Caenorhabditis elegans: one gene and its partner. The protein of the gene in region 2 purifies or fractionates together with the protein of the main gene of each other region. This does not show direct contact. Each region holds a gene or a part of one and is shown on either strand. Other genes may lie near its edges.

Region 1 (8,552 bases), on a different chromosome or scaffold from region 2:
CTGTCGCCTCACTCTCCCTTGGTATATAAACAGCCTACAATCACCGAAGTATGTATCGGTCCGGCGTCAGTGGGTTATCAAGTTTGCCTCCCTTCGGGGAATTTCCCATCGGCATCAACTTGACAGTTACATTTTGAAAATTTGTATTGAGACAAAAAAGTTGGGCTGACACATTTTTGAACAACAATTGTGAAATGAATAGGAGTACTTCCGTATTATAATTTTACAATTTCTGAAGCGTTGGAAGTACTACGTACTGCAAGTTGCAGAACGCTTATCTAATATTATAGATTTTTGAAAATTGCGAAACACAGTTTAACAGAACTATCTGCCATTGCACGAAAAATGTCTGCCGCCTCACTCTCCCTTGGTATATAAACAGCCTACAATCACCGAAGTATGTATCGGTCCGGCGTCAGTGGGTTATCAAGTTTGCCTCCCTTCGGGAATTTCTCATCGGCACCAACTTGACCGTTGCTTTTGAAATTTTTCTGTAAAACACAATAGTGAATTACAAATAAATCGGACTCTACTCCAGCAGTTTGGTTTTATGGTTTAAAAAACCTGAAACGGAACAAAATGCTACTTGAAGTGATATATACTTTAGGTACAACTTCAAACTTTAACAAGTAATCACCGACTCGTTTGTTGGTGCAGCGTCTGTCAGTTATCATTCTTGACCGTTAATTTTAACATTTCCGGAAAAAATTATGGGATACATTAAAATAACATGATTTTTGTTCACTAGTTTTAAAATTGGAGATATATATTTAAAAATGCGAAATACATTATTTATAAACTAACAGTTCTTACTATAAAATAAAAAGACTCTATGCATCTTTTTCAGAACATTATTTGTTTACGATTACCCATGTATATTACTTTGGTGTTTTTGGGCTATTATTTTTATTATTTGTGCTCATCATTTATTTGTGCTCAGCATATCGGCATTAACTTGACCGTTATTTTTTCAAATTTCGCATTCAGATAAATATCAACCACATTCAGAGTATTGAACAATAACAATATTAATATTTTTACATAACATCACATTTTCTTTTACTGCTTGAAAATCCAAACGGCAGTTCATCTGAAAACAAAACAGTTTAGCCATTCGCATATTATTTTTGTCATAAATAAATTCAATTAGTTATTTAACTCAACTTTAAAAAAAGAAAATTAATTCTCCCTATCTCATATTGCGAAACACATCTCAAACGCCAAACACGCATAAATGTCCGCTGCATTAATTCCTCATAGTATGTAAGCTCCCCGCACTCTGAGCAGTTGTTCAAAAATATTATATATCGGTCCGGCGCCAATAGGTTATCATTCCTATTCCCACTTCAGGGAACTTCCCATTGGCACCAACTTGACTGATATTTTTGAAAACTTTGGAGCAAAATTGAGTTTAAAGAAACCAAAATAAAGTTTTTTAAAGTTAAGATTTGAAGCATACATTATAATAATAGGATATATTTGAAAATTATAATAATAAGAAGTTCAGAAAGACGTAAACGTTGTTTTCAAAAGTACCCATTTTCTGTTTCTAATTTTAAAAAAAGTGAAACAGAATCCATATTAAGCATAAATTTTGCCGCAGATTTACAAAATTGGGTTGTTTCTCATATCGACGATATGATTAATATTGCTGGGTTAAGAAAGTTAAGTTTAAAGGTTTAAATTATCAGGCGAGATGTTTGAACAGAATATCCGAATTCTACAAAAGGATAAGCCCAATGCGGGGCTCGAACCCGCGACAACCAGATTAAGAGTCTGGTGCTCTACCGACTGAGCTAACCGGGCCGCGAAATTTGAAGATGATTGAAAAAAATAAATAGTGAAAAATGATATCGTTATCAAGAAAACGTAGCATGTGGCGTTTGACCTTCATCATTTGCAGACGCAGGTTTGCTGGTGTAATATCAATGGGAAAATGAAATAGTTTTCACCGATTAAAATTTTAACTGTAATAATAATTATTATTGGCTGATTTCATTAAAACATAGTTCAGAAATAAAAATTCATTTGTCTTTTTAAGATCAGCAACTTTATGATTCATATGATCGAGCGCAACTTGTTATAGACCTATGTATTCATTAATAGTTCCTCCTCTAGGTGCCAATGCTTATTAGGGGTCAAAACGTTGTGACAGTTGTTCAAACAGGAAACAGATCGGATAAAAGTTAGCCAGTGAGGGCCCACAGAACATTCAACTTTCAACTCTCACTACCATGAACACCTTCTTCGTTTTAACAATTGTTTTCTTTGTTTCAAGCGCTGAAATGTGCTCCGACTCGGCTTCAAAGTAAGTTACAGATTATTTATTCAGTTTGAAATTTGAAATTTCATTTTTTTTTCTTCCAGCTGCGCGAACTGGGTTGCCAATGGGTTTTGCACCTCTACATTCTACACTACCGCTCAGAAAACCCAATACTGCGCATCAACCTGCTCTTTGTGCTCTGATTCTTCAGATTCTAGCTCTTCATCGTCCACTGCTTCTACAAGTTCTTCTTCGTCCACAGCTGCAACGTCCAGTGATGATTCTTCTTCATCTTCTTCATCATCTTCCAGCTCCGCGTCTTCAACATCTTCTTCAGACACAACAACAGCTGACAGTTCTTCTACTACATCCTCTGATTCTTCAACAACCTCTTCCAATTCTTCATCATCCACTTCATCCTCAGATTCCACATCTGTCGTATCTTCTACATCTTCCTCAACCACTACCACATGTGTAGATTCTTTTTCCACGTAAGACTTGATTATTTGCCACTTGCAAAATAAAAACCTTCTAGATGTACTTCCTGGGCTGCTAATGGATTTTGCACTTCTTCCTTCTACACTACTGCTATCAAAACTCAGTACTGTGCAGCTACCTGCTCTCTGTGCTCTTCTTCCAGTGACTCTTCTTCGTCGAGCTCTACCGCTTCTACATCATCTAGTTGCACAGATTCAGCTTCATCGTAAGATCAATCAATTCTACTGACTAGCCTAAAACAAGTTGAACTTTCAGATGCTCATCTTGGGCGGCCAACGGCTTCTGCACTAACAGCTTCTACACAGATGCTCAACGTGAACTCTACTGTGCTAAAACTTGCGGATTATGCTAATTTCATCGTTCCTCTTTTATTGTAGTTTGTCTCTAGTAAACTGAATGCATATCAAAACCATGTCTTCATAATATCTGTTGTGTGTTGTTTGAGAACGGGCCATACCGATGAGAGAGTGCACAAAATAAGAGAGTTTTCTCTGCTACATGGTGTGTCCTCCCGCCCGCCCCTCCTCCACGAGAAACACGCCAGCAAACCAATAATGCGCCTGCAGCCACCGACCTGCACCGATCCCTCTTCATTTTTTTGAATTTTAGTCGTCTATTTTCTAGTATTACCTTTAAAAAACAAGGTTTTTATATATTTTTTTTCCAGAAATGCAGAAAGCGGCGCCGCGGCCCATCATCAAACGGAGTTATCTCAACTTGGATGCAATTTTCGGCCATGTCTTCTCAAATTTGACAGGAGAGCCAGTGACTCCAACAAAAGTAAGTTTTTTAGTTTAGAAAACCTTCAAAGTACTAAAAATTTACTTAAGATTGCAACGTTCTACCTTCTTCGCATTCTTTTTCAAACACACTTTGGATTCCGTCACAAACGTGCTTACTACAAACCATTTAGCCCCGCCGAAAAAGAACGGTAAGTAGTTTGGAAAAATTTTAAAAAAAGAAACCAAATTCATGTTTTAGAATCTTCCATTGGCTGTATGCATTGATGACGTCAGTCGTGGAGCTTTCTTATAAGGACTTCAGAATTGTCACTCGACTTGCATTTGATGACGGCCGTGAAGTTTGTAAAAACTTTTATGCAGCGTAAGTCAAACGATTTTCATTTTATACAATTAAAAAAACATTATAATTTATTGTAAACTATTATAAAAACTAGTCAAACAATTCGACAATAAATTAAATGCAATAATGTTTCTTAGCTCGATTTTCTGGAGCATTATAAGCATAATCAATAATACAAAACAATCCGCTGGCATCTCTCCATTCTTTCAGTATGGAGAAAATTGGCGCCGGAATGGCGGATGTTACTCTTAACGTTGAAGATGAGTTCTACACCAACAAGCACCCAAAGGATCCGAAATTGCCAGCAAATGACACTGTACATGAAGCTATGGACTTGGCGCGCGGAGACATTATCCAGTTTTCTTCCAATCACTCGTTTATGTACAGATGGATGAAACGAGTATGATTTTTCAATCGAAAAAATTTGTTTCAGTTTGATTATATTTCAGCTCCTGGCACAATACACCAAGTCAACTCCTTCAGAAGTGTTCCAGATAAATGCAGCCATGAAATCATGGGTTTTGTCTGCTGTTGAATCAAAGTAAGTGACGAAGCTTTGCTAAAAATACCGAAACTTTTGCAGATATCATCCCGAGTTCAAGGGAGAGTATCTTCCACACTTCATCGACTGTTCTGTCAGAGCAAGGGATTGGGTTGCTAAGAGCATTTACTTCATTCAGGTGAGATACTATTTGAAACTAAAACTCCCATGCGGTCGCCGAGCCAGCCTCACGTCGTCACCCTCGCCGCATGTACAGTGAAGCGCAGACCTCCGAACGTGTCGGCCGCTTCCAGCCCACCACCTTTTCACACTACGTTGCGCACACACCATGCTACTCATTTCACGCTGAGCTGCGGAACCCCGAACGTGTCGGCCGCTTTGAATGACTACCTCTCGAACTTCATTTCACACACACAGCGGCGCGCGGCGACGGCGTGAGGCCCGGATTTTGCGCCTCACTCAGCTGGGAGCTCTGTTTGAAACTGACAAAAGAAAAGTAATAATGTTTCCATGTTTTTACAGAAGAACCCACGTTTTGCCTTCCAATATAACGAGATGCTTCACTACACCCGGATCGTACAGAAGCGACACCCGGACGTTGTTGAAGGGTTCCTGCTAGAGGCCATTGTGCAAGTTCAATTGAAAGATAGCTCGTCGGCTATTAAGGCAATGAAATCGTTTTTCGAGTTGTCCATGTTTGAGTAAGTGTTATACCGTTATACCGCCACCGAGGTTTAAGAACAAAAAAAATAATTTTCAGACTAAATGAGAACATGGTGCATGCCGCAAAAACGCATCGATTGGCAGTTCCAACTCAAACCCCGTTGATGTATGCACCGATTCTTCAAGCCAGAATTTGCAGAATATTTGGAGACTAGTAAGATATATCAATAAAGAGTACATAAATATTCTCATTTTCCAGCCAAATGGCTCGTCTCCTGCTCCACGAGAGTCTCCAACAAGCCCAGCTCCGAAATGATGAGATTTGCCATCAAATGGCCAACATCGAAATGCACACTGTCGACATATTGGGATGCAGGGCGCTGCTTGAGGATAACAATGAAAGTGAGCTCGTCTATTATTTTTTGAATCAATAAGAACTAAGACAACAACAAATCAAATTTGCAGAAACCGCTAAGCACATTGAAAATGAACGGCGAGTTCAGAGAAAAGCCTTGCTGCACATAGACGAGTAAGTTGGATTATCTACTAGTATAGAGTCATAAAACTAATTAGTACATTTCAGTCTTCACGGACATACGCGATCCGGGCCTTGCTGTCTAAGTTCTGAAGAAGATTTTGAGCTTGTCGCAGAGATGGACTCATATGGAAAAATGCTCATGTTGATGAAGATCATTGCAGAAGGAAACTATAAGCTGTGAGCATTCAATCAGAGACGTCGCTTTAACTTTCCAAATTTACAGGATCTACGACAGAGTTGCGGAAACCGGAATAACGTGTCCAGTCGGTAATGATCTTGGAGAACGAGGACGAAAAGTGGCTGCTTATGGAGCTGCTCTGATATCTAGTAACATGTAAGTAGCTCGTTGCAAATGGCCTAGAAACCATTCTGAATTTCAGGATTCATAATGGAATGTATCATCAAGCAAAGTGCGCCGCAGAAAACATGCTGGCAAACAATTGCAGAACCGATGAAACAGACCCCTTCCAGGCTCCTTTTCAGGCCGAACCTTGGGTAAGTACAAGTTAGAACTGTGACAAATAATAAATTGGTGCAAAATTTATATGTATCTAATGAAATTCAAGTATGATGTATCAATTTTCAGGCAATTGGTGCGGTAAACCTATCTTATTCACAAGCTGGAGTCGGAAACTACGACGCGGCACTAAGAACTATTGAGGAAATGCGACAAAATTATCCGGAAGAACTTTCTTGGCAGTCCAACCGTCACGTTGTCATTTGTGCAGCTGTCATCAACTTTGAAAGATTCTTATTGAAAAATGACTACAAGGCTTGTGCTTCTGAAGTTTTGAATCTCGCAGCACACTCTGAACTAGAATGCAAGCTTCGGTGAGTTGCAATTGAAAGTATTACCTCATTTAATTTCTATAATTTTTTTAGACAAGCTCTTCTCCTCGCCGCAGCCGGAAAAGAACGGGCAAGTGTTGAAGTGTTGGAGGGATTGAACGTTGTGGACATTCGTGGAAGAATTCGAATTCACATGCAAACAGGATGCATTTACACGGCTAGTCAAGAATTTAGAAAAGCTGCAAGAGAATTTGCAGACGCCTTGAGTCTTGCTGAGAACACCACACTGAAGGACATTGTGCCAATGGTCAAGAGAAGACAAGCAACTATGCTGGTAAGCATTTTATGTAAAGAAAAAATTGCATGAATTTTTTTACGCCATCTTGATATTTCACTGAAGAATCTACAAAGTGGAGCACTGTCGTTAGGGTTTTGAATCCGTAAATTTTGCGCTGCACTCCGAAAATTATTTTTTATTCAGCCTTAAAAATTGTTTGAAGTGAGATGTTTGAAAACATAAGGTATTGTATTTTTTATAGATGTCACCAGATATGTCAGACTATACTCGCTTACTAGTTAGATAAAATAAACGTTTTCTGAGAACATCGCATTTATCAAATGAAAAACAATTTTTAGAATCTAAATTTACAGATGTGCCATGGTCAGTATGTCGAATGTCTGAAACTTTTGAAAGAATGCAATGAAGGCATTGAACAGTTTGGATCATTTACCGAGAAGGCGTGCTACTACATGACAGCGGCCAGATGTCATCGATTGCTAGGGAAAGATCCGCGGATGTGGTTGAAAAAATCCCGTGCCCTGGTCCGCAACGGGCAATGGCCGGCGTTTACCAAGCTCGTCCTCTCCGAAATTGCTGCTCTTCATGACGTCAAAGGACTGATGCCTGATGAAAATCGTCTGTCGCAGATTTGTGAGCAATTTGGTAAACTGACTGCTGATTGTCCCGGCCGATGCGAATGGCTCCTCATCTGATGATGTTTCAAACCAATATTCTTGTACACACTTTTAAAGTGCTTCATTATCCAATCCCAAAGACCCCCGTCTGTTCTTACATTCAACGATCTTGTTTCAAAACTCAAACAGGTTTATGAGCTTCACAGTGTATTTTTACGAGTCTTTCTTGCTCTATTTGATTTTGAATTTATGAACTTTTTGTAAAAAAATTGCTTTTGAAAAATTGGAAAAAAAATTGAAAAGGAATGTTTTATTGCAATTTTTTTGATTTTATTTTATTGCAGATACCATTTGTGCAGTTTGAATGCTTCTTACCAAATGTCAGAAAACATATTTCTGGTAGCTAAAATACATTTACAACTGTAGCAAAAACGTGTTGTGCAAGTTTTTTAATAGCAATGAGATGTCTATTTTTTTTTAAATTAAATTGAATCATTATCGAAAGTGATTAATTATAGGAAATTACGAAGAATAGAAAGGATTACTTTGTTATTGGATGTTTTACATGTTCTCATGTAAATTTATTGCTAGCCAAACTTATTTGTTGTTTTAAAGCGTGACCTCATTGAATCAAACGTTTTTTTAAAGATTAGTAAAAAAATTAAAAATTAACCGGCTACTGAAAACCCCACCCCCGCAAAATTCCTATTTTGGGTGAAAATTCCGTATTTGCAGTGAAACAATGCCAACTGAAAGCATCACTCCAGTTACTCATGACAACTCAAATAGGATATGTGTACATAATGATTAATTTTGCTAACTTTCCATATCCGTTATAACAAATGCAAACATCGTTTTTGAAAATGGATACTGTTAGGATCAAACACCTGATGATCCCACCGATTTGGCACTTTAATGGATCAACTAACTTTTTGGAAAAGCTGAACAAACGTAAAACAGTTTTATAAAAGGCATTCTATCAGAACGCATTGTCAGAACACATTCAGTTTTTGAATTAAATCAAAAATGTCATCTACTTCTTTGTGCGTCTTGGCTGTTCTTATCATCTTCTCTACCGTAGAAATGTGCATGGATGTTAACCCAAAGTAAGTAAAAATTCAGCATTTGCAATTTTTTATCACTGCTGGAATTGATAATTTTCCAGCTGCGCTAACTGGGTATCCAACGGATTCTGCACCTCATCATTTTACTCTGATGCTCAAAAAACCGAATACTGCCCTGCGTCCTGTAGGCTTTGTTCGGGTGCTAGTAGCACAACTTCCTCTTCGGCTTCTTCGTCT
Region 2 (6,264 bases):
ATTGAGCAACTTCCTCTCGTAAATTTACATAGGTCTTCATCAATTCAGAAAAATGAAGTTGTATACGATGATTGAAACATGACATCCAACAAAGTTTAACTCGAACTCCTTTGAATGTAAATATAATTGTTGACGGTGTTCCCATTTCCATGGAATGATCAGCTGGATGTCCATCATCGGCAATCTTCTTTCGAACTTGTTCAAGTAATGCAAATATTGGAGTTCCTTCAGGAATTGACATAGTATATGCCACATTGTAATCACTATCCGGAAGTGTGACGTCATATGTTACAGATCCAAATGGTCGAAGTATCACATCTTGCAATCCAATCGATGGGAATACTGTAGTACTCAAGTAATAGATGATTGTTTCACCGATCTCGATTCCATTTTGACGAACCTGAAAATACTTGACGAGAGAAGGGTTAGTTGAGAGAAAAATGATCGAAACCGGATAGAAAAAACGAAATTTTATTTCTGAATTTCAGCTTTTTAGAGAAAAATCACAATTTATCCTCCGTTAATTTCGTTTTTTTCCAATCCAGTTTCAAGATAATCTAACCTGTTGATACGATTTCAATGTTCCTTCCAAAACTTTTTCAACACTCTCTAAATGTGCTTCAGTCGGAGGTGGAATAATTTTCAAAAGATGCTCCCGTTGTTCCTGTCGCTTAACATCATCAAAATGTGTACTGCTCTCTAAGTGTGCTTTTGCGTGTCCGATTGTATTAATATGATAATCGCACTTTTCGCAATAGTATATGGCCTCTGGGAACGCTTCTAGACGATCGACAAGTTTCTTGATCAAACAAGAAGTCAGAAATCCCTCAGAACACTTTGAGAATGGAAATCTGTCGGATGAAGACTTTGCTGAAACTGTTGAGAAACAGTGAAATGAAATCGGAAAACTCAGTTCAAACCTTTCAAGAGATTCTCAATAGTTTCCCTGCAAGATTTTCTGATCGTCTTTTCATCTGCATCCAATTTCAACAGAGCTCCAGTTGTGATATTGTCATCTCCATGTTGTAATTTTACTTTGATGAATAGTCCATTGCACTTGCTCGTAGTTGGAGTAATCAACAGCTAAAAACTTGACTTTTAAAAATTAATTTCATACATTTTTTTGCTATTTTAAAGTTTAAAGTACGAATTTTGTTCTATTGGAATACAGCGAATGATTTTAATTTTTTATTCACAACTAACCGTAAAATTGTTATCAATTTGAATAGGTACATTCTTTTCCAACGGAAATGAGCTCATTGGATACTGGACAGTCTCTTGAAATGTTTGAGCCGACACGGCTGACCCGGCATTTTTGGAGAAATAATACTCTTGCGTCTGTTTTTTGTTGGCTTCTGCTTGTCGTCCAGCAACATTAATCGTTGTTTTCTCTGGAGTAGTAGGATTTGAATTCCATCCTTTCAATGAAGCTCCCGAATCGCCCAATTCAACAGCCATCAATGGTTGTACAGCGGCAACCAAGGGTCCTGGTGGCGCATTCCGATTTATTGGAGATGTTGGCTGAGAATCCTGATTTCGTTTCAGAATTGTGACTTTTTGAGGAACGATGTTCATTGGAGGACGATTTTGCGATGGATTTCTGCTCGTCTTTTGGGAGGAGGAAGCCGAATCAGCTGGACTGTTTGATGATCTTTTCCGGCCTGTAAGTTCAATGTTAGTTCAATATGAAAATTAAGAAAAAATGAAGAACACTCTGTTCGAAAATTGCTATAAAGTTTTCACTTTGTTTGATAAGAAAGTTGATAAATAAATAAAAGTGGCGTTTCTGCTAAAACTGTTCAATAACTTCAGGATTGATAAGGAAAAAGTTATAGTAGAGAGTGAATCAACGGTATTTTTGAATACTAAGAACAGTAAAACCTCAATCTTTAAGCAATACGAAGGGCCTAATATACTTCATTGTATGAATTTTTAAAAATGATTAGTCATGAACTCACCACTATTCTGGCTATTTCCTCCCCTTCCACCTCCAAGGGCTCCTCCTCTCCGCCTACTTCCAGACCTTTGCTCATCGGTCATCTCACAACTCTTTTTAATAATTACAGTACAATATTAATACCTATTATTCGGTTCGTCTTTCCCAATGAAACTGAAAAGAAGCGATTGAATAAAATCTGGAATAATTTGAGAACAAAATATTAAATTAGGTAATAACGAGGTCAGTACCTCGGAAATGAATTCCATAATTAAAAAAAATGGTATGCCAAATCGAGTTTTATTTACAGATAAATATGGTGTAGAATAGGGAATTCAAGGATTTGCAGGCATATTTGCTGCTGCATGGACAGCGTTCACATGACGTTGATCTTCACGAGTCAGAATAGCCACACTGTCTTGCAAGTGACGCAGAAGATCTTGATTATCCTGCAATAAATTTAGAATGAACAACAATGTACTTTTTCAGAAAAGTGTGATTTTGAAATAAAAACGTACCCATTGAGCTTGACGGTGCTCACAAATCGTGGTGATGAATGACTCTTTTGCTGGTGAGACTTCGGAAACCCACAAGTGCTCGGACCAGTTGAGTGGAGGTTGTGCTACGTGGAATGGGTACATCAAAGCCATACTTGATCTGTAAACGTGGTTTTTTGAATCAAAGTCATCTAAAAAACGGGCAAAAGTAAAATGAAGGTTGTTTCAGCCTATAATAATAAGAGATGTAAAAAGCAATGTATGAAAAAAAATAACCGTTTTATTTAACAACAAAAAAACACGATGTAACTGACACAACTTAAACAACCCGAAATTTGATCAAACTCCCGCTGAGATTTTAATTAATTCTTCAAAACGTGTCCGACGAATGGATATTTCCTAGCACAAATCGGTGCCCATTCAGGTCCACATCCTTCACTACTCTCGAAAAGATCGCGGTTGTTGTCATAGAGATCTTGTGAGCCAGAGAGGTCGTAAATCTGAAATAAACTTATTTTTTTGATAATCCGAAAAGTATTTTATTACTTTGTCTTCCACAATGACCAGGCACCTGTTCTCCTCGCGGCGCATGCTTTCGATTTCTTCCATTGTCATATCACGCTCTTCGAGCTGTTCGATCTGAGAAACAAAAATTCACATCCCAAGATTTATTTGCAAATTACCTCATATTTCGCTGGCTCATTGATTTTTGCAACAAGCATCCTTTTAACAATTTTATTCAAAGCCACGAGAAACACCACAAACACCGCAACATCGATGAAAGTGAGCTCATATTCCCCGATTTGCATTTTTTGGGAAGAAAATTCAAATCCAAATTATTTTTTCAAATCGTTTTTATTCCCCAGTCTCATGGCCGACATTTCTTCGGCCCCGCCCGGAAAAGCTGCAGCAAGTACGCTCCACTGCAGTTTTTCGAATTCTCATTGCATGGAATTCCTGAGACACCACGGTTTCAAGATCTGGTGGGATTCTCCGTTTTCCGGATCTACCATATCCGGATCTACGTTTTCCGGATCTACGTTTTCCGGATCTGGCACCGTGCCAACTCTTAAAACGCTATTTTTTCGAAGAAAAAAGTGACAACGACGCTGCGATGTTACGCGTCGCGTGTTCTTAAGCGTTTCTTCTAGAAGAAAATTTCGAAAAAAGTCGTGCGTTGAAAAGCGTTTTGTGCGTTGGCACGGTGCCAGATCCGGAAAACGTAGATCCGGAAAACGTAGATCCGGAAATGGTAGATCCGGAAAACGTAGATCCGGGATCCCATCAGATCTTGAAACCGTGGTGTCTCGAATTCCTTTGACTTGAAAACTTGCATTTTTTCATGAAAAACTGGTTAAAATTCTAGATTTTCTTTTAAAGACAAGTTTAAAACATTTGATCCAATGCGCCGTTCGATTAGTCACTAGCCAGAGTACGTATTTATTGACCACTCGTTCGATAAATGTAATTATCCTACAAAATTCGCATTGAAACTTTCTTCGTTTATGTCCCACGTCAATCAAGCGGTTTCGTGTATATTTTGCTACTTTCAGGAGATGTCTTTCGTGTGCGGAATCAGTGGTGAACTGACCGAAGACCCAGTCGTCTCTCAAGTCTCAGGGCACATCTTTGATCGTCGGCTGATCGTTAAATTCATTGCCGAAAACGGAACAGATCCGATCAGCCATGGAGAGCTTTCTGAAGACCAGGTTTGTCAACCTTGCAATTATCTTCACTGACGTGAAACTTCGAAATGATAATTCATTGAAAAAACAAAATAATAATTTCTAAAATTCATTTTTTAGCTCGTTTCATTGAAAAGTGGCGGCACTGGATCAGCACCACGCAATGTCTCTGGAACATCCATCCCATCTCTACTAAAAATGCTTCAAGACGAGTGGGATACAGTAATGCTCAACAGCTTCTCTCTCCGACAACAACTCCAAATTGCTCGTCAAGAACTTTCTCACTCTCTGTACCAACACGATGCCGCTTGTCGTGTTATTTCCCGCCTCTCCAAAGAATTGACCGCTGCTAGAGAAGCATTGTCTACTTTGAAACCACACACATCGGCGAAAGTTGACGATGATGTCAGCATTGACGAGTCTGAAGATCAACAAGGTCTTAGTGAGGCAATTCTGGCAAAACTTGAAGAGAAATCAAAGAGTCTGACTGCTGAACGTAAACAACGAGGAAAAAATCTTCCTGAAGGACTTGCCAAAACAGAAGAGCTCGCCGAGCTGAAACAGACAGCATCTCACACTGGAATTCATTCGACTGGAACTCCTGGAATTACTGCATTGGATATCAAGGGAAATTTGTCACTTACCGGAGGAATTGATAAAACCGTTGTCTTGTATGACTATGAAAAGGAACAGGTTATGCAAACATTCAAGGGGCATAACAAGAAGATCAACGCAGTTGTTTTGCATCCGGATAATATTACTGCAATCTCTGCTTCTGCTGATTCACATATTAGAGTCTGGAGTGCAACTGATTCGTCTTCGAAGGCTATTATTGATGTCCATCAGGCACCCGTTACAGGTGAGATATTTGAAAAAAATTCGCTAGCTGTAATTCTTCTATTGAACAAACAATGTTTTACAGATATCTCCCTCAATGCATCCGGTGATTACATTCTCTCCGCTTCTGATGATTCTTACTGGGCATTCTCCGACATTCGTTCCGGAAAATCGCTTTGCAAGGTTTCAGTTGAACCAGGATCACAAATTGCCGTTCATTCCATCGAGTTCCATCCTGATGGTCTTATTTTTGGAACTGGAGCTGCGGATGCCGTTGTGAAGATTTGGGATTTGAAGAATCAAACCGTGGCTGCTGCATTCCCGGGACATACTGCTGCCGTTCGTTCGATTGCGTTTTCTGAAAACGGATATTATTTGGCTACGGGATCAGAGGATGGAGAGGTCAAATTATGGGATCTTAGAAAATTGAAGAATCTGAAAACTTTCGCTAACGAAGAGAAACAACCGGTAAGAAATTGTTAAGCAAATGTTTAATGAAAAAATATAATTTTTTCAGATCAACTCCCTGTCCTTCGACATGACTGGAACATTCCTAGGAATTGGTGGCCAAAAAGTTCAAGTTTTGCATGTGAAGAGCTGGAGTGAAGTTGTATCACTTTCTGATCATTCTGGACCAGTCACTGGAGTTAGATTCGGAGAAAATGCTCGTTCATTGGTGACGTGTTCATTGGATAAGAGTCTCCGAGTATTCTCTTTCTAATTGTTTTTATTACCATTTATTACTAAGTTATTCAAAATTTCACCACATTTTTCCCGTTTCGTTTCCTTGTTTTTTTTGTATTCCGGATTGTTCAGTCAAGTTGAAAATATTCCCATCTATAGAAAAGCTGACAAACTATTATTCTTTCTCCATCTCTCGTTACCATATATTATCGATTCCAAAAATTCTCCTTTTCACTGTGAATCAACAAAAAAAAAAGAGTTGATTGGCTGTCTTCCTGTGGTGAGATCTCTTTCTATTTTTATCTATTGGATTTTATTTTGTTCACATTTATCTTTTTAACAGTTCAACTTTTCTCCAGATTCCCCAAATTTTATTCATTTCATTCAAAAATGATCTGCAGCCAATCTCCTCCGCTTCTATCCCATTCATCTATTCTTTTATTAAAAGTAATTTATGCAATAATTGAATGATTACGTACTGCCTAGAGGTTAATTGCCTTCTTTATTTTGGCTGAAAAACTTAAAATGTTGCCCTTTGTGATAGTATTTACTATAGCAAAAATCTTTTAAAGCAGCTAAAAACTATATTTCAGGATAGCTACTTGAATCTGGAACATCAAAAATA

The links. Proteins that work in one complex are often made in the same cells at the same time.
Region 1: the proteins of emb-1 (region 2) and gfi-3 purify together in Caenorhabditis elegans (affinity purification with mass spectrometry, with the first as the bait; one study listed by BioGRID). This does not show direct contact.

The regions. Positions count from the first base shown.
Region 1 is NC_003284.9:14,477,144-14,485,695, forward strand, and holds gfi-3 (Protein gfi-3), read left to right. Parts: upstream 1-3,428; 5' UTR 3,429-3,430; coding exon 3,431-3,541; intron 3,542-3,591; coding exon 3,592-3,692; intron 3,693-3,742; coding exon 3,743-3,865; intron 3,866-4,054; coding exon 4,055-4,244; intron 4,245-4,293; coding exon 4,294-4,385; intron 4,386-4,427; coding exon 4,428-4,524; intron 4,525-4,868; coding exon 4,869-5,047; intron 5,048-5,106; coding exon 5,107-5,223; intron 5,224-5,268; coding exon 5,269-5,411; intron 5,412-5,474; coding exon 5,475-5,538; intron 5,539-5,592; coding exon 5,593-5,724; intron 5,725-5,770; coding exon 5,771-5,881; intron 5,882-5,927; coding exon 5,928-6,042; intron 6,043-6,133; coding exon 6,134-6,378; intron 6,379-6,429; coding exon 6,430-6,670; intron 6,671-6,987; coding exon 6,988-7,329; 3' UTR 7,330-7,559; downstream 7,560-8,552. Other genes in the region: M163.11 (ShKT domain-containing protein), read left to right, coding at 2,235-2,308, 2,368-2,754, 2,799-2,966, 3,017-3,113; M163.8 (ShKT domain-containing protein), read left to right, coding at 8,278-8,357, 8,417-8,552. UniProt on the Caenorhabditis elegans protein: Probable component of the anaphase promoting complex/cyclosome (APC/C), a cell cycle-regulated E3 ubiquitin ligase that controls progression through mitosis and the G1 phase of the cell cycle.
Region 2 is NC_003281.10:5,169,768-5,176,031, reverse strand, and holds emb-1 (Anaphase-promoting complex subunit emb-1), read right to left. Parts: upstream 2,594-6,264; 5' UTR 2,587-2,593; coding exon 2,455-2,586; intron 2,386-2,454; coding exon 2,272-2,385; 3' UTR 2,223-2,271; downstream 1-2,222. Other genes in the region: cid-1 (4Fe-4S ferredoxin-type domain-containing protein), read right to left, coding at 1-400, 563-870, 921-1,083, 1,204-1,661, 1,959-2,040; K10D2.5 (uncharacterized protein), read right to left, coding at 2,796-2,933, 2,980-3,072, 3,117-3,242; prp-19 (Pre-mRNA-processing factor 19), read left to right, coding at 3,990-4,142, 4,239-4,977, 5,041-5,423, 5,473-5,676. UniProt on the Caenorhabditis elegans protein: Probable component of the anaphase promoting complex/cyclosome (APC/C), a cell cycle-regulated E3 ubiquitin ligase that controls progression through mitosis and the G1 phase of the cell cycle.